Linked DNA regions of Struthio camelus. The protein of the gene in region 1 interacts with the protein of each later gene in a pairwise test. Links are inferred from orthologs where the notes say so. Each region holds a gene or a part of one and is shown on either strand. Other genes may lie near its edges. The genes, in order: PRR22 and NELFA.

What was found.
Region 2: the proteins of PRR22 (region 1) and NELFA interact in a two-hybrid assay, tested with the Homo sapiens proteins (2 studies listed by BioGRID). The two-hybrid records come from large-scale screens. The link is inferred for Struthio camelus from reciprocal best matches to the Homo sapiens genes PRR22 and NELFA.

Annotation. Positions count from the first base shown.
Region 1 is NC_090967.1:4,124,326-4,133,148, reverse strand, and holds PRR22 (proline-rich protein 22), read left to right. Parts: upstream 1-5,242; coding exon 5,243-5,297; intron 5,298-6,216; coding exon 6,217-6,266; intron 6,267-6,504; coding exon 6,505-6,583; intron 6,584-6,836; coding exon 6,837-7,741; 3' UTR 7,742-7,835; downstream 7,836-8,823. Other genes in the region: DUS3L (tRNA-dihydrouridine(47) synthase [NAD(P)(+)]-like), read left to right, coding at 123-188, 277-387, 1,036-1,132, 1,988-2,063, 2,375-2,563, 2,660-2,788, 4,430-4,502.
Region 2 is NC_090945.1:77,948,780-77,957,363, forward strand, and holds the start of NELFA (negative elongation factor A), read left to right. Parts: upstream 1-4,713; 5' UTR 4,714-4,859; intron 4,860-5,145; exon of another isoform or gene 5,146-5,348; intron 5,349-5,595; 5' UTR 5,596-5,608; coding exon 5,609-5,860; intron 5,861-8,584. UniProt on the Homo sapiens protein: Essential component of the NELF complex, a complex that negatively regulates the elongation of transcription by RNA polymerase II.

The DNA.
Region 1 (8,823 bases):
GCTCCCAAGTCTTACCTGCATCCCCTGAGTAGGGGGTTGCTTGCTGTCCGAGCAGCTTTCAGTAGGCTCTTCACTATGCAAAGAGGCAGAAAGTCTTGACTGTGTCACCTTTTGTCCTACAGGGAGGGGGCTGTGCTCTGATGACCCGATCTAACAAGTTTGAACAGATCGTCAGAGGGATGAACTCGGTGAGTCAGAGCATCCTGCCAGCAGCAGGAGATGAGCTGGTGCAGCAGGCTCCTGCCTGAGCCTGGCCTCACTCTGCCCTTTCTGCAGGTGCTGGACGTCCCGCTGACTGTGAAGATACGGACTGGGGTGCAAGAAAAGATTAACGTGGCTCATAAAATAATCCCCAGGATCCGGGAGTGGGGAGCATCCATGGTCACGGTACAAGGATACTTGCTGTGATTGTTGGCAGATTGTTGGCTGGTATCTGGGAAGCTTTGCTTGCACGTCAGCTTAGAGCGCCATGTGGGGGTGACCTTCCCCTCCCCCCCACAGCGGAATAGTGCTTTCAAACACCTTTGGCTGCATGGCACCTTTTAGTGATTTCTGCTAATAATAGAAGAAATGCAGATGCTTTTGTTTTTAAGGCATTGTCCAAGGTACTCCCAAGTCTTGTATCCGTTACAAAAGGGGGCGACTCCTGCAGTGCTTTGAAATAGAGCTTTTAAGCCAAATAAGCATTATTCCAGGGTTGAGGAAAAAAGGGTGGAGCCGTCTCAGTTGCAGCAGGGTGGGTAGTCCCTGTCCACAGTGAGTATTCCCTTTTACTGTGAATCATCACTTCTTGTTCTGGATTGTAAATAGCTGAAACATAGTGCAGAAAGCATCCAGCACACTTTAAACCTCTGCTAACCGCTTTTGCAGGCGTCTCTGTTAGCGACTAGCTGGGGTGTACGTCTAGGAAGATCCTTCTCCCGCAAAGTGATGGTGTTGCCTTTCCTCGAAGCACATTGCTTTGGTGCTCCCATTCTGCTTTGCTTTCTCTGGGGCGTTTCGGGTGAGGGTCTCACTGCCGCTTTCTTCTCCTAGCTTCACGGCCGATCTAGGGAACAACGGTACACAAAGGTTGCCGACTGGGACTACATAGCAGAATGTGCTAAAATAGCAAACCCCATGCCTCTTTTTGGTAGGTGTTTCTGTTGTTTTATCCTGCCTGAGATCACATCTCAGTAGACTGAAAATGCTGCATGTTTTGTTTAAACGATGGAGAAAAAAAAAAAGGCCCCTAAGTGCATGCAGTCTATGGGAAAGGCTGGAGCATCGGTATGGCTGGTGACGACACCACGGAGCATTGTCCGAGCGTGGAGGTGGCCCAGCTGTCCCAGCAGCGACTGCCTGCTTTGCTTTTAAGTGCAGCTCTGCTCTGAGAGAAAGAGCGAGCAGACAGACACCATCATGTCCAGCAGAGCCACTTCAGAGCAAGGTCGTTTGTGGCAGGACTTCATTTGGGCAAAAGAACGGTGAGGAGGAATCTGCCTCCCCTGCGTGCCGTGCGTGCCAGGTCTGGGGCACCAGCTTTCTTGCCTGAAGTCCCTCCGGGCTTTTCCCAGTCTGTACCATGTGCAACCAGCAGCTCTTGGGCAGCTCCGTTCTGCCCAAGCGCTTGGATCTCCAGGGCCAGGTCTAACAAACGCTGAGCAGGGCTAGGAGGGGAAGGGCCAGGTAAGACACATAATGCACCTCATTTATAGTGTTTTTTCTCCCTCCTTTGGACACCATAACGCGGACAGTCCCAGCTAAACCTTGAGGGTAGTAGTTGGGATTGGGGCAAAAGGAAGAGAGAGTTCTTTTCCTTGTAAGGGGACTATTAATCAGAAATAGCCTTGGGAGTCTCTAAGCATGAGTCCCAGAGTCTGTTTGGACAGCCTGGCTCTTAGGCACTACAGCCGTTCTAAATTTTATCCCATGCCTGGATTCACTCATTCTGACTTGCCCTGGTGCATCACTTTGACCTCTGGCTTCTCCCTCCCTTCTGACACAGGAAATGGTGATATTTTATCTTATGAAGATGCTAATCAAGCCATGCAGATGGGTGTTTCAGGAATTATGATTGCAAGGCAAGTGACTGTATTTCCCCATTCACTTCTATTTCCCTGGGCTCTATTGATGCAGGAGTAAAAAATAAATAAAAAGAAAAAGCCTAAACAAACTCAAAACACAGGAAGAGTTTCCTCTTGAAGAAACTACTCTTTGGAACTCAGTGGAGTCATTTGTATCTGTGGGAACTTACAGCAGCTTCTTATCGAGATTGAAAGCTTTTAAAGTCACACTGGCTGGCAAATAAGAGCTGGAAAGTCTCTTAAATTAGTTGGCATCGCCAGAAGCATGCAGTCAGGTGAATAACAATGCCCGTTTTGTTTGACTACAGAGGGGCACTCATCAAACCATGGATTTTCACTGAAATTAAGGAACAGAGACACTGGGATATCTCCTCCAGTGAGAGATTTGATATCCTCAAAGACTTCACCAACTATGGCCTTGAACACTGGGGGTCTGATACTCAGGGAGTCGAGAAAACCAGGAAGTTCCTGCTGGAATGGCTCTCTTTTCTGTGCAGGTAATTCTCCCCAACTGGTAGGATCGTTTTCACAGAAGGCCTGTACAAGTTGAGCAATAGCACACGGTGTCATTAGCATTTATATTTGCATTGTAGGTATATTCCAGTTGGCTTATTAGAACACCTACCTCAGAAAATCAATGAGCGACCGCCTTACTACATGGGGAGAGACTATCTGGAGACACTAATGGCAAGCCAAAATGTGGACGACTGGATTAAAATAAGGTAGCAAAGCACTGAATTTCTTTTTGGTTTCCAGGAGGGGACATTGCAGAGCCTCACAAAGTGACCGTGCCCGTGTGCATCCTCTAAAATGGGATGATCTCTCATTTCCACAAGTTTAAGAGGTTGTAAGAAACCAGGAAGGGTTAACCAGTACTTTACTTCAGCAAGGTTTTTAACGGAGCTTGGGATTTCTCTCATTCCCGGTATCTGCCTTAGCAGGTCATCAAGTACCCAGCACAAATCTAGACTAGCTGACCTCTCTCATGACACTGTTCATCCAGGGACAGTCGAAGGAATCAACGGAGGAGAGCGCAGTGATGGGACGTCTCAGGCTTTTGTAGCATCGGAGATGTCCGTGCTCTGCCCGGACCCTGCTCTGCTGGGCCCATACAGAGCAGGGGAGCAGTCCCCATCCTCAAGGGCTTTCAAACAACTTGTGAAATTAGTTAGGAGAACTGGATATTTTCCTCTTTTTTCATAGTCTGATTTCTGAGTTGATGTAACAGAGCATAGGAAACTGCTTTTCCCCACATCTACGAGTCCTCAGACGGTGGCTGGAAATTGACTCTGCAAGCCCAGAGCCAGCTGAAATGAGAGTTGGAGCAGCGTAGCCAGCTGCTATTTCCCATCTCATGGAAATGGAGATTAGCAAAAGTAGAGCATGGCTACAACCTTCTCTGGTTTTGCTAATCCTCATCCATTTTGTTAGTAATGGGAACAGCTGCCTAAAACCAAGTTACAAGTACACGGAGTTTTGATCCGGATTTTTTTAAATGCCATTTTTCAAGCAGAACCTGCCAGCTTTTGGGTCCACTATGCTTTGTAACCTGTACCCTTTGGAATGCCTTGTAACAGACTCTTAAAAGAACAATTTTAAAAGTCAGTTTAGGTTTATTTGCTAAAGCTCATGTTAAAGAGACACTAACCAGAAGCAGGATTCTCTAAGCACACACTGTTCTGCTTTTGTGCCATAGATTCACAAAGTCCTGTTATGCAATTGTGTGCCCTACTGGGATAGTCTCTGCTGACATGTCTTATGGAAAGTTTTAGTGATGCTGTATTGAACCAGCATCCAGGAAATATGTTACGCCTCCTTGACTATAAAGAAAAGTAATCTGCACTGAAAACACAATGTGGGTTCCAAAGTGTGAAACAGTTGAAGTCTTAAGCTAGGATAAATCTGATTGCAGTAGAGCTGGCTTACATCATTTTCGGATCCGACCTTAATATTTTTGGCACCGTTAGGGTTTTGGCTCTGCGCAAGCACAGCCAGAGGTAGGGACGAGCTTTTCAAAGGCTCGTGATGATTTTAGGTGCATTGTTTCCAGCAATGAGGCTGGTATTCAGGTCACCAAACTTAGGAACCCACGTTGGCATTGACTCTAGGTGACGCCTCATAGACTGAAGGCAGCGCCCATCTCTGGGGGCTTTGTCCCTGCAGCAGGGTTAAAGCTTGGCACCTATGGAGGGGATTGTGTACAACAACCCTTCTCCCGGAGTTTCAGGGCAGTAAAAGCTTGGTCTGATACTTCTGATTACACATACCATCGCTGCAGAGCCCCCAGGGGCTTTGTGACAGCTGAGTCTTGGTGGCCCAGCTGCTTGTGATGAACTGAACACAAATCTTTTCTCTTGTTGCAGTGAGCTGCTTCTGGGACCCGTACCTGCCAACTTCACCTTCCTGCCCAAGCACAAGGCAAACTCCTACAGATAGAACCGATGGGACCTTTCTTACAGCATCGAGTCGAGAGGAGGCTTTGGGATGGCGTGTGCTGAGGAGTAGGTTGCTCAGCTGTGCCTGGGAATTAAATAAATTTATATGTTTTTAGAAGTGTGGTTGCCTTCAGGCCCCCAAGTGTCAGTCCCAGCCACAAGTTAAGCATCAGATGGCCTGGCTGCAGGATTGTGCAAGTGTGAGAGGTGCCTCGTTAACAGAGAGCAATCTGTTTAATTAACAGGATGCAGGCCAGGAGAGATCTTTGGCCTCCAGTGTACAACTGAAGTTATCCTGACTATCCACGCCACATGTCATTCACATGGCAGGAGCGAGAGGCCTCTCTTCGTACCAGGACGTCCTCGGTAGTGCCAAATCCTCCGAGTACGAGGAGGGAACATGTAATCCCTGGGGTCCTGTAGAGCACAAACAGCCCCAGCGTCCCAGAGTCTGATGTTCTGCAGAGTCCAGTCCCGTTTTGGGAGTGCACAGGGCAGATACCCTGTCGTCCTGGATGTCACGCAGCTGGGTGACATCCTCAAGAGAGGCCTAGCTTTTTCCCTCACCGAGAGCCTGAAACAGCTCACAGCTCTGCTCGAACAAGGGCTGGATGAAAGCAGGCTGCTGAGTGACTCTGCGTGACCTTTCCTACCTCCCTCAGGCCCCTTTTCCTCTCTAGGTCTCTAGCATTTAAATAAACGCAGCTACGCGGCACTAGGACTGAGTGCAGCTCGTCCGTGATGGACAACCACGAACCAGACAGCTCAACGTCCGTGGTTCAGCTCAGCCACGTGGGTGCCGGACCCTTCCCGGGGCTGCAGAGCGGCGTCAGTGCCTCGGCTCGTCCCAGCTGCTCTCCCACCCGCGTGCGGCCGTGGCTGGAGAGGAGGAAAGAGCACGGGACCCCAAAACCATGGCTCCTAACTAGGATCTTCGGTGGGGATTGCCATCTCTCCTCCTTTAAAAGTAGCTGCCTTTTGTTTTAGTGCAGCCAGTTTTGCTTCTGTGTTGAAGGCAGGAACTTTGAAACAACAAAAAAATACCTTGAAAAAGCAAGCGGCCTCTTCTGTCGCATCCGTTGTGGCCTCTCCGCCAAGGGAAAAGCAAGTTCCCTGGCAGCGCCCGTCGAAACGCTTGCAGCAGAGGACAGAGCGGATCAAACAGCCCGGGCGAAGAGCGGAGCGGGGCAACGCTGACTCCGGCACATCGCGTCCCCCCGGCAGCGCTGTCGCCAAGGTGGTACCCGCGGGACCCTCCCGGGCCGAGCGCCCTCCGGGATGCCCCAGCCTTGCACAAGTTAAAAAAAGAAAGCAAAAGAAGAGGCGTGAAAATGGCCTGTTTCTTCACAGCCCCGAAGCCTCATCATGGCTCGGTCGCATCCTAGTCGCCAGCAGCAGCTACCGCGAGCCGACGTCACAGAGCCGGGCCGGGCTGCGGTTTCCTCTGCGAAGCCCGAGCGGTCGGCTGCCGGGGACGGGGAGGGGAACGCGGCCGGCGGCGGCGGCAGGGCGAATGCACCATCTCCCGGCGCGCGCGCCGCACTGCATGGGGGGGGACGCGGGACCCCCCCTGCCCCGACCCCGCCGCCTGCCCTCCCGCAGGGTGCATCGCTCCTCCGCCGAGGTGCTAAATCACCCGCCGAGCCCAAGGCAGCTCCGTGCGCTGCCCCCAGGGAAATAACTACCTGGGGGGGGGGGGTCCGGCTCGGTCCTAGGAGCGAGGCGGAGCGGGGAGCCCAGGCGTCCAGCACCATCCTGCCCGGAGCTGGAACGCCGGCTGCCGCCGCGTTCCTTCCCCAGAGACCCCCCCCCCAAACAGAACGGGCCGGGCACGGCAACGGCGCCGGCACCCCCAGCCCCCCCGGCCATGGCGCATCCCCCAGCCCTGCCCCTCGGCCTGCCCCGAAGCCTCTCGGCCGGAGGTGGGATCCAGCCCCCCCCCCCCCCCCCCGGCTCCGTGCCACGCGGCCGCCCCCGAATTTTCTATTGTGATTTTTTTCCCCCCGCCCCCCCCCGCAGGCTCATCCAACCTCTACCAGCCGCCGGGCCAAGAGAAAGAGGCGTTCGCGGCCCCGCCGGCAGGTACACGGGCACCCAGCGCCCGGCCTCGACCAGCCTATGGGCGCCCATCCGTCCCGGTTCAGTTGCTTATAATTTGGCGCTCGCCCATCTTCCCTCTGCCCAAGCTCCCTTTTCCCACGGTTTTCCGCCCCGTCCCGCCACGCACCGCGCCGGACCCCGGCGGGGGCCAAGCCGGGAGCTTCGGCGCGGGAGGAGGAGGAGGAGGAGGGGGCAGGGGGGACCCCGCGCTCGAGACGCGGCTCTTGCTTCTCAGGTCTGCAGATGGCTCCCTGCGGCTGCTTCTTCGACCCGCGCATCTACCGCATCGAATGGGCCGCCACGGGGTTCCTGCAGCCGCCCGTCCTGCTCGACGCCCAGCGGTACCTCCGCGCCGCCGGCCAGCCGGACCCGTTCGCCCCTTACCAGCCGCTGCCCCGCTACGCCGTCGCCTACCCGCCGCCGGAGGAAGGGGTGACCCCGCCGGGCGCCGCGGTCGGTCCCGCCGCCCGCCGCGCCGCCCCGCTGCTGCTGCCGCCGCCGCCGCTCGGCCTGGCCGAGCCGCCCCTCTGCGGCGGCTACGGCCACATCCAAGGGCGGCTCAAGCCCGTGGCCGACGCCGCGCCGGGGCCGCCCGCCCAGCTCGCCGCCGGCCGCCCCGTCCCCGGCGAGACGCCTTCGCCAGCCCCGACGCCCAACGCCGCTCCCGGCCCGGCGGCCGTTGGCAGCCCGGCGCCGGCCGCCCGGCAGCCCGCCGACCTGCCCGAGAAGGTCCTGCTGGAGGACGCCATGAAGCTCTTCGACTGCTCCTTGGCCGCGGAGCTGGGCCAGGACGAGCTGAGCAGCGTCCTGAAGCTCGGCGAGCGCCCGGGCGCCGACGGCTTCTTCCTCTGCGAGGAGGCGGCGGCCGCCCGCGACATCGGCTCGCTCTGGCTGCCCGAGGAGCTGCTCTCCTCCGACTACAACGTGCCGGAGATCCTCGGCGCCGTGCTCAGCATGGATTATTTCTACGCCATCAAGGTGACCCCCGAGGAGATGGGCTGGGACGCGGGGCTGGAGCCCCCCGACGGCGCCCAAGAAACGCGACGGGAAACGGAGGAAAACGGCTCGTCGCCAAAAACAGGCGGCCGGGCCGGCAGCACGTGCACGGCGTCCCCCAGCCGGCCGGGAGAGCGGGATTAACCCCGGCACGGGGACACGGGGACACGGCTGGGGCGGGCGATGGCACTTCCCGAGGGACGATGGTGTTTTCCTTACTTTTTCTATTAAAAGCGATTCGTGCAGAAAAGGACCTTTCTTGGAGGAAAGCAGCCCTCTCCCCGCTGTCGCTCGGGGCCTTTCACCAGTCACCCCGTTACAGCTGCCGGGGGTCCCCGAAAAGCGGGTGCCAGCGTGGGGACAGGCACGCCGGTCCCTGGCCCCGGCGAGGAGGGAGCAGAGCAGCGGCCGCCCCAGGAGCATCCTCGAGCGCAGGGACCAGGAGAGCTGAGCTGGAGAAAAAGAAGGGGGGGGGGAATTAAGGGAAGAGCAGATGGGATTCGGGAAAGGGGCAGCGGAGGTGCCTTTGAGGATGCTTTCCATAGCGTCAGCATCTGCTCCTGGAGAGCTATCACCACGCACTGACGCGTTTAGAGGTGCGTGCCCCGGGAAGGAGCCGGGCACCCTGCTCGTGCGTGCAGCCCCCCCAGGCTCGGAGCATCCTCATCCTCCCCCCGAGCAGCCAGCACGGCTGTGTCCGGGCAGATTCGTGGGAACTGGTGTCACCAGCCCTCCATGGGACGAGGGCAGACGTGGGGGACGAGGGCTGCAGCACTTCTGCATGGAGCATTGCACGCTCTCACCTCCAACGTGGGGGCAACGTGCCGAGCCCTGCTGCTCCAAAGCCTCCGTGAAACAAATCCCTTATTTCCCACCAGTTCGCAGCCCGTCGCCCAGCTTCTCACCGCTGCAGCAAAATAACCTGCGTACCCCAAGGACAGAGCTGCCCGGAGGGAAGGGACCTTCCCCCCCCCGTCATGCTTAGCTGGGGCTCTTGGCATCCTCAAAACCAGGGAGGGGAAGAGAGAGGGGAAAAAAAAAAAAAAGTGCAATAAAATAAAAATCACGGCAACAGGCCAGAAAGTGCCTGGAATCATCTCTCTTTATTGATTATTTTGCATCGGAGCTCCACAACTCTGTGCCAACGCGGCCAAGGCGCCTTTCGGCGGTCCCCGCCGCGCTCCCCTGCCGCAGCCCGCGCCGGGGGCCGCGGCACCGGCCCCTGG
Region 2 (8,584 bases), on another chromosome or scaffold:
CAGGAACTCTGGAAAGTTCACGGCATCTGCAGCTACCACTAAAAGCAGGAAACTGTGTCTGTGAGAGTTACGAGCTTGTAAATTCACCTACCTGTGTTATGCACCTCTCCCAACGTTGATGCTGACCGGGATCCAGAGCAAGCAGAGGAGGACTGTGAAATCCAGGTTCTCCACTGACTCCTAGGTCTGGAAAGGGTTTCAGCCCTGCATCTCTAAATCTCCTAAATCACACCCAGAAGACCCAGCTGTATCACACGTAGACTCAAACAGTGCAACAGGATATGTATGATACAATACAGCTTTATGGTAAGACTTAAATAACGTAATTCTTGTCAGGCTGTAAGAGTGTGTCCTTCCTTTTTCTGCCTCCTGGGCTTTTGAGCCTTTCTCCTACTGCTCAATATGGGACCAATGCGAAAGCATTTACAAGCTTTCAGTCCTCTTTACTCTTTCTCCCTGTGCTGATGCTGTGGCCCATATGGTTCAACGTCTTGATCAGAGGCCTGGACAATGACACAGAACATTTCCTTAGCAAGTTTTAAGGACACCAAGTTAGGGAGAGCGGCTGACACGATGAACAGCAGAACTTTATTCAGAGATACCTCAATAGATTTCAGGATTAGGCCAACAGAAACCTCACAAAGTTCAATAAGGCAGAACAACCTCAAATCAAAGCAGTCCGTACAAATAAAGTCCTGGCAACTCTAGGAACGGACACACTAACACCACGCTGATGAGCTACTGATAGTGACAACTGAGGATGTGGAAAAATTAGGTTTCCAAACAGAGAAGGCTGCGTTTCCTCAAGGATGGGAGCTGCACATAAATATGCCACTGTTGCAGCTCTGCAGAGGCTTCAAGGAAATTATCACTGCTGATAATCTTCAATTATCAGGCCTCATTAGCCACTACCACGTCAGGGCCTACGAGTGGCAGTGTATGAAGTGAAACTGTTCTAGAACAAGATTTAAAGCAAACGACCACTTGATTTCCACCTCTCAAGGGCTGTCTTCATGGGCCTTTATCATCCTAGGTTTTAAGTCCTACACCATTTTGAAGTTTATTTAAAAAAAAAAAGAAAAAACATAGAATTGTGTAGCTGAAGTCCTAAGTAAGAGGGTGGGACGGTAATGTAAACATAATCCTAGACATAGGTAACCAGATGATAAACCCTTGCAGTAGCTTGCATCATGTCACATAAATTCACAAGAGAGGAACTAGCCGGTAAACTTTTCATAGCTACGAAAGTACTTTTATTTTTATTTCTGATAGAATAGAGCCATATCCGTTTCAAAAGACTTTGCCTAGCAGGAAAGGTAACTGGTTGTGTCACAGCAGATGCAAGAGGTTACCACAAGTAAGCTGAGCACTTGACTTGAGGAAGTCAAATAATCTGTTTTTGATGGAGTAAATTCTGAGAGTCACCTTTCAGATCCCACTGCTACAGCAAAGAGTTTTAAGACACGTCAAATAAACTCAATTTTGAATGACTGGTTAGCTTAAAAGTGCAGGAAAGAAAGACAGAGGTTTTGATTTTGTTTGTGTGTAGGGAAAAGGCCACCAAAAAGCAATACACACCCTTGTATTTAACAAGTAAAATCTGCTGAGATCACTCAGACAAAAGGAAAATGCAGAAACTTATAAAAAGCAGAGTTTAATGAACTGAATGAAAATAAAAATGGTAATAAATACCATTTTATGGAACCAAGTGCAGCTTAATGATAATTTAATTTATATGTAAAGAAAGTAATACAGTGTTTCCTTAAGACGGTGTGCACCTGAAACACACTGACAGAATACCTCTGTCGCTGGCTGCCATAAAGGATAGTAGCCTGACTGTCAGTCACTCTGTTAGCTCCAGTGACAGACTGAAAGGTCTTAACTATGCAGAAAACTTAGGCGTCAACCTGATACCACATGATAAAATTTGTCTTCTTATTATGCTTCTAAAACTTAAAAAAATGCACTTTAAACAAAGTATGGAAGCATTGAATGTATTAAACGTTTGCAGTGTTCAGATCGCCAGAGTTGCACAAAGGGGAAATAACGTAGCACGCTAAAGTAGCATTACATGTAAAGTAGCATTACAAACCTAATTAGAGTTTTTAAAAGCTCAGTTATTCAGTCTTAATGGAATCCTTTTAATAGTGCGTGGGGGTTTGGGTGTACTATATAGTACTATGCTATACAGCCAACTGCTTTGTCTACCTTCTCGGGTCAGTCCCTGTCATCACAGTATGAATCATAATCTGAAGCACTGCTGGCTCAGAAACTGTCACAGTTGCAACCGCAGGATGCCAATGGGAACTTAGTGCCACTGCTAATGCTAATGATATGTTTATTGCACACGCTTCAGTGCTTTCTAAAACACAGTAAAAGCTGCTGCTTCCCAACTGAGAACTCAATGCCAGCACCGCTCTGAACCCTCTGCCCGTCAGCGTTCCACTCCTCGATTTGGGTGCCCAGCTGAGATGTGCTGTTGCTTCCCCTAAAATAGGAAACTTCTAGGCATTATCCCTGTAACTTCCTTCTGAATATACACAGCTATTCTGAGTCTGATAGCTAACACAGCAGGCTGCCCTCACTGATGCAGCACTAGTTCATCCCAGCATATATATTTTTGGACAGGCAGTGAGAAAAACAGCAGGTCCGGAAATCCCTGGAGCACGGATTTTGGTATGAGGTAAAGAGTTACCTTTCTTGAAACAAATATAAAGTGGATTGGAAGACGTGACTCTTTGGCTGTATCTGCTTTTATGTGAACACCGTCACAATTGGGGAAGTGAATCTAGATTGTCTCCCTGCGATCTGTCTCATAGCATGCTCTTAATATTTCTCAACAATTTAATATCCAGTATTACAAACTTTGAATCAGGGACTTGCAACTCAGAGGAGAAAATATCTGCGGACAGTTATCTGCGTAACCCAACGTTATGTGGGATATCAAGCACTTTCAGAGAACTCAAGTATACTCCATTAACCTACAGGTTCGTGCATCCATGAGGAATGAGCACTTTGGTATTTGCCATATTACTCTGAAAATCACTACCCACACTAGACAAAATCTAACTGAAAAATAAATAAAGCTTTATTATATTCAAACAGAAAGTTAATCTACTAGTTACCAGACAGGACAAAACCATGATCTTATAACTAGCTGGCGTTTTGTCTTAATCTCCCTAAGCTCTGCATGCCCACTCAAGTCAGCAGCTGACAAGCACAGATTTGCAGGTGGTAGGACTGGAGCCACGTTTGCTATATAAAACCTTATATTCCAGATACACCTCAGAGAATAGACTCTCTTTTGGGGGTCACCCTTCAGCTAAGAAAATAAAAATAATTACACCAGAACAGACTAAATGGCCACGCTGCCCACTGCTTTCACCCTTGACAGTGGGCAAAAATAGACGCCCCAAGGGAGCATGTAACAAAGAAAGTATGTAAAAAGTACTCCCTTACCTTCCATCAGTGTGCAGCTTTGGCATCACCTGAGCAAGACGGTACCTAATCCCATACAAAGTCTACCAGAACAAAGTTACCTTTTCAGGAAATGGTCCGTCTATATGAGCTGGTAGAGAGAGGATGTACAATTCTACTTGTGGCACTGTGGTGCTGTAGAGTATTTATCAGCTCTGATGCCTAAAAAACACTTATACCAGCTCTCGGAAACAGTTTAATTCTGTGTGTTAGCTACCGCCTGAACACAATTAGCTGCAAAAACTACAGGGTATTCTGTGATTTGCTTTCTCCAGCCCACCTCCAATAGGAGTTGGTTAGTTTTCTCTTCACGTTTGAAGTTTTCATTGCTTAGCTAATTTTTTTCTAGTTGCAGTATCCCATGGAATATACATTTTCAGAGGTAGAAAACAGAATCAAAGGTGAGACACTGAGATTATGCCTCACCAGCCGATTTGGGGGATTCTGTCACAATTGTGCCACTTAACACTTTTTACTTTCACAACACTTTAGCAGAGTCCATAACCTTCTGAAAACTAGACCTAATTCTGTCAGAGGCTCTATAACGTACAGGAATATACACTCTGCACTTTGGGTAATCTACAATCGGAAACTCTCTCTCCTACCAAGAAGCAAATAGTTCCAATGAACTCTGTGGGATGTCGCACTGCAGTTAGGCACATGCTTAGCTTAAGTCTTAGCAAGGTTGGTGCCTACTTTAAACAACTGGGTATGATTGGCGAAAGCAAAGTTCTGGAGTTGGCAACAAGAATGTAGTAATTACTCCTCAAAACAGTGTTGAAGAGTCAATGTAAAGCTCCTCAGCACCAACTGCTCAGCTCGACAGGTTGTAAACAACCTCCTGATGTAGGAAGAAAGTTGTGAAGAAAACGTTTTCCTTCAAAAGCTTAAAACAGAGAAAGAGAACAAGTGAATGCGCTAGGCACTCCTACCACAGCTCTTGTGCTTTCATTTCAATGAGCAAAGACACTAAAATGAACTCTTTATGCTGTACCTGAAGAACTTGAAATCTTCTGAGATTTAGGTAACTGATTAATTTTTCATATTTAAATAACAATGAGCTGAATCACGAGGGAATGAGCATATGCACAATAACCCCTAAATTTCAGAGTACCTACTGCTAGCATTACAGGCGCAGCGGCAACTTCCTAAATCTCAGCAGCACCCAGCCCAGAAGTCCCTGGGGGAAAACGATGAGAAGGGCAGTTAGCTCTATTTTGGTCAAATCATAGCGTTACACAGAGATTTCATCATCCACCACCGTGCTGGCAAGCTCTGCGGGGTGGTTTCAGGCGGGAGGAAAGCCAGGGGCACACGGAGGAGCAGGAGAGGAGGCACCCCGCACGCAGAGGTGGGTGCACCTCAAGGCGCCATTAGCTGCAGTAAGCAACCCACTCTGCTGGCAGGAAAAGTGAAAAAGGGGGAGCGGGGTGGACACGCTTTTTCAACACAGGCCCTGAGGGCGCTGAGGGGGCCCCAGCGGCTGCCGCCGGGGAGCCAGGCTGCGAGCCCGGGGGGGGGGGGGGGGGGAACCGGGCCTGAGGGAAGGAGACGTGGTGCCACCGGCAGCTGTGCCAACCCCGCGGAGCGGCCCAGCCCTCCCCTCCGAGGAGGAGGCAGGGCGGCCGAGCGGGGCCCTCGGCCCTTCTCCCGGCGCCGCCAACGGCCGCGCGGGGCCAAGCAGGCGGCTCGGCGGGCGGGCGCCCTCCGAGGAGAGGGGCGGGGCCTGGCCTCCGCCTCGCAGCTGTTCCGCCCGGCTCCGCGGCTGGCCGGGCGCCCCAGTCCCGCTCCGCGGCCGAGGGGAGTCTTGGAGGAGTTAGGGCAGGGCGTCGGGAGCAGCAAGCTGGAGCTGACAGAGAAGCTGCCCCATGGTGAGGTTACGCCATCTTGCGATACGGCGGCGGGGGGGGGGGGGATGGCGGGCGCCATTTTGCATCTGAGCGAGACACGAGAAGAGCCTTGGTGGTTTTCTCTGTGTGGGCGCCGCCATTTTAGGTTACGGAAGAATCTCCGCCTTCCCTAGAGCGAGGTTCCCTTGCAGGGCGCCGCCATTTTGGGTTACGAACGAGACGGCGACCCGCAGGGGTCCTCACTCCCCCTCCCCCTTCCTCCCTTTAGGTGTCTTCATAAAATGCCCGTGGAGAATCCCCTCTTTTTTCGCCCCGCTCCCAAGATGGCGTCGATGCGGGAGAGCGACACTGGCCTGTGGCTGCACAACAAGCTGGGCTCCACAGACGAGCTGTGGGCGCCGCCGAGCATTGCCTCGCTGCTCACGGCTTCGGTGATCGACAACATCCGCCTCTGTTTCCACGGCCTCTCCTCGGCCGTCAAGCTCAAGCTGCTCCTGGGGATGCTGCACCTGCCCCGCCGGGCAGTGGATGAGGTGAGGGCTGTGGGTAGGACGTTGCGCGGGAAGCTTAACCGAAACGGAGTGTGGGGGGGGGGGGCGAGGAGTCGGAGATGGCGTGAGGGGAGAAGGAGGGGGGCACCACCTCCCTCCCCCTCCTTTAAATGGAGTCGGTGGCGCCGGGGCGCGCTGCCGCCCGCCTCCCCCCCCCCCCCCCCCCAACGGCGCGCGACGAGCCGTTAGCGCGGCCGCGCCGCCCCTGAGGGGGAGCCCGGCAGCGGCCGCTTCCCCAGGGCGGGTGGGAAGTAATTACCGCCTTCCCCACGGGTATCCCCGCTCCTTCCTGGCAGTTTTGTTTATTTTTTTGTTCCCCCCCCTCTGTAGTGCGGTGCGTTGAGGCCCTGCTTGGAGGCTGGGCCCTCAAAAAGGTGCTCAGGTTTCTCCCCCCCCCGGTTAACGGGAGTGGAGTGGCGGCGTCGCTGCTGCTCCTCTTCCTGCTCGTGAGGGAATCTGTGGTTGGCGCTAGACTTCTCGAAAGCAGGGCTCGGGTTTCAACCTGAAACCTTTCTTAACGTGTCCAAGCAGACTTGTAGCTTTAGGACTATATTTTGCTAGAGTTTGGGGACTTCTGGTGCCTCTTTGGGGAGGGGGGAGGGCTTCTCTGAGCCAATGCTTGCTCTAGGTTTAGGCCCCAGAGGGAAGATTGGCCTCCAACAATAACGTGGAGAAGATCTCATTTGCTTTCTTTAATACTGGCAGCTGTGTGGATATCCACAGGCGAGTATCTCGGATTTAGGAAGGACAGCAGCAAGTGCTGAAACTTTGGGAATGGAAGATCTGGGGTTTGCACTGAGCAGTGTTTTCCCCACCTTCTTGTAGTCAGGACTTATTGGAGAAAATTGCTGTGGATTTTTGCCTCCCCTTACCTTTCTAGGAAGTACTTGTTCTTTCCTTTACTGCCGTGACCCCAGCTAATAATCTGGCTGGCCGGATTTGGATCTGACTTTGCATGGAGTCAGCATAAATCCAGCAGAGTTTATTCGCTTGGCTCTGGACCGTGTGTCATCTGCCGTTGCCTTGTTCTTACCAGTAGGCAGATACAGATATTTGGGGTAATAATTGGAGAAGGATTGGGAAACATTGAGTTTCTTCAGCCAGGTTGGAGGAACTCCTGTTCTTTTATCCAGCATGTGTGGTGCTGGTTTCTGATAACAGTTTTGGAGATAGTGAGTGGTTTGGGCTTCAGCTTTTTGTGTACAGTATCCTCAGTTGTGCTTGTAGCAGTCCCTTTCATGGGTAGGTTGTGCCTCTGTTGCTTACGCTTAATAGAAGTATATACTAGACATAGTGTAGGGAGACTGTGCATAGTTCAGATTATTGTATGCTTTACTTCTGTGCACTTCTAAGCTTAAAATGCAAAAGCATTGCTTCCAAGCAGTAGGTTAGTGTATGCCAGGATCTGTCTTGCCAGATATATCTCTATGGTTGTTACTCTGTTACGCGTAACTGCAGTTGCTTTTAAAAAGACACTTTTTGCTCAGCATATGCTTCCTCTGTTTTTAAAACATGTTTATGCCTTGTGCCTGTCCAGTGCACAAGCATTCTTATTTGGGCGAGACAAATGCAGTTTTGCTTTTTAGTTTTCTACAAACAAAATAACCAAGGCTGGAAAGGGGGGTAGGGAACGACCCCTCAGTTCCCACAAACTCTAAGTATGTAAAATTCTTCTCAAGTGCTGTGAAAATCCACATAGCTTGGAAGAAGAGTCTTGCAGTATTTGGTGAAAGTTAACAAACTAGTGGTGTTTTTAGGCCTAAGAGAAGGGAATTTTAAAAAAGCTTAGGGTCCTTCATAAGTAGTACTCAATGCCAGCTCTATGGTGAGGGAGCAGCAGTTCAAGTCAACTAAAACACTTGGTTGAAATGCTGCAGGAGCGCTCACTGGACTTGCACTAAACCTAATTTTTGTTGTTATTTGTTTAAGACTAATTCAAATCAAGGAAGATGGCAGCAGGCCACTTACTTAATCTGTGCTTTTGTTAGCTGTGGAGATGAAGTGTCATGTGAAGAAGAGCAAGCTGGTTTCTGTGCCCTTTAATGTGTTGTTAAAGTGATCAGTTGTGTTCCAAATGTAAACACTTTTACTGCTATTGCTAGAACAAAAAAAGAGTGTTGTGGGATTTTTCAGTTCTCTGGTAGAGTTGAAGTCAGTCATAAATCCAGTCTTTTAGCTGTAAACAGAGCATGCTTGTTCTAGAGCTAGGGTTTTGCTCTCTTTCCCAGTCCTTTGCAAAGTACCTTAAATTTATTTAAATTATTTCAAGGACTTTTTTTTTTTTGAACTTTCCTCTCAGTGAAGACGTTCTTGTTAAATTAAGAAAATGATGAGGTAGAAACCTTTAACCTTGCTAACAAGTCTGATTTATTTCGTTATAGACTGATTTCATTATAGATTTCCTTCTATACGTGGTAAAAACTGCCAGTGTAACAAAACTGCTAGCTAAAGGGAACGTTGTCTTCTCAAATATTCATCTTGTGAATTTGCTAAAACAAGGTTGTGTTTATCAAGGTTTGTTACATAGCTTGTTCTCGTGGTTTGGGATACTCTAACTGGTATTGGATATTTGACACATTTATTAACCATAAAGTTGCTAAGTGTTTTGTACTAGTGTTCAGTTCTGTATATACACACACACTCTATATATGTGTGGGTTCTCTTCCTCTCCCTCGTGCTCTGTGCTTCTATGCAGTATTCTCTGCA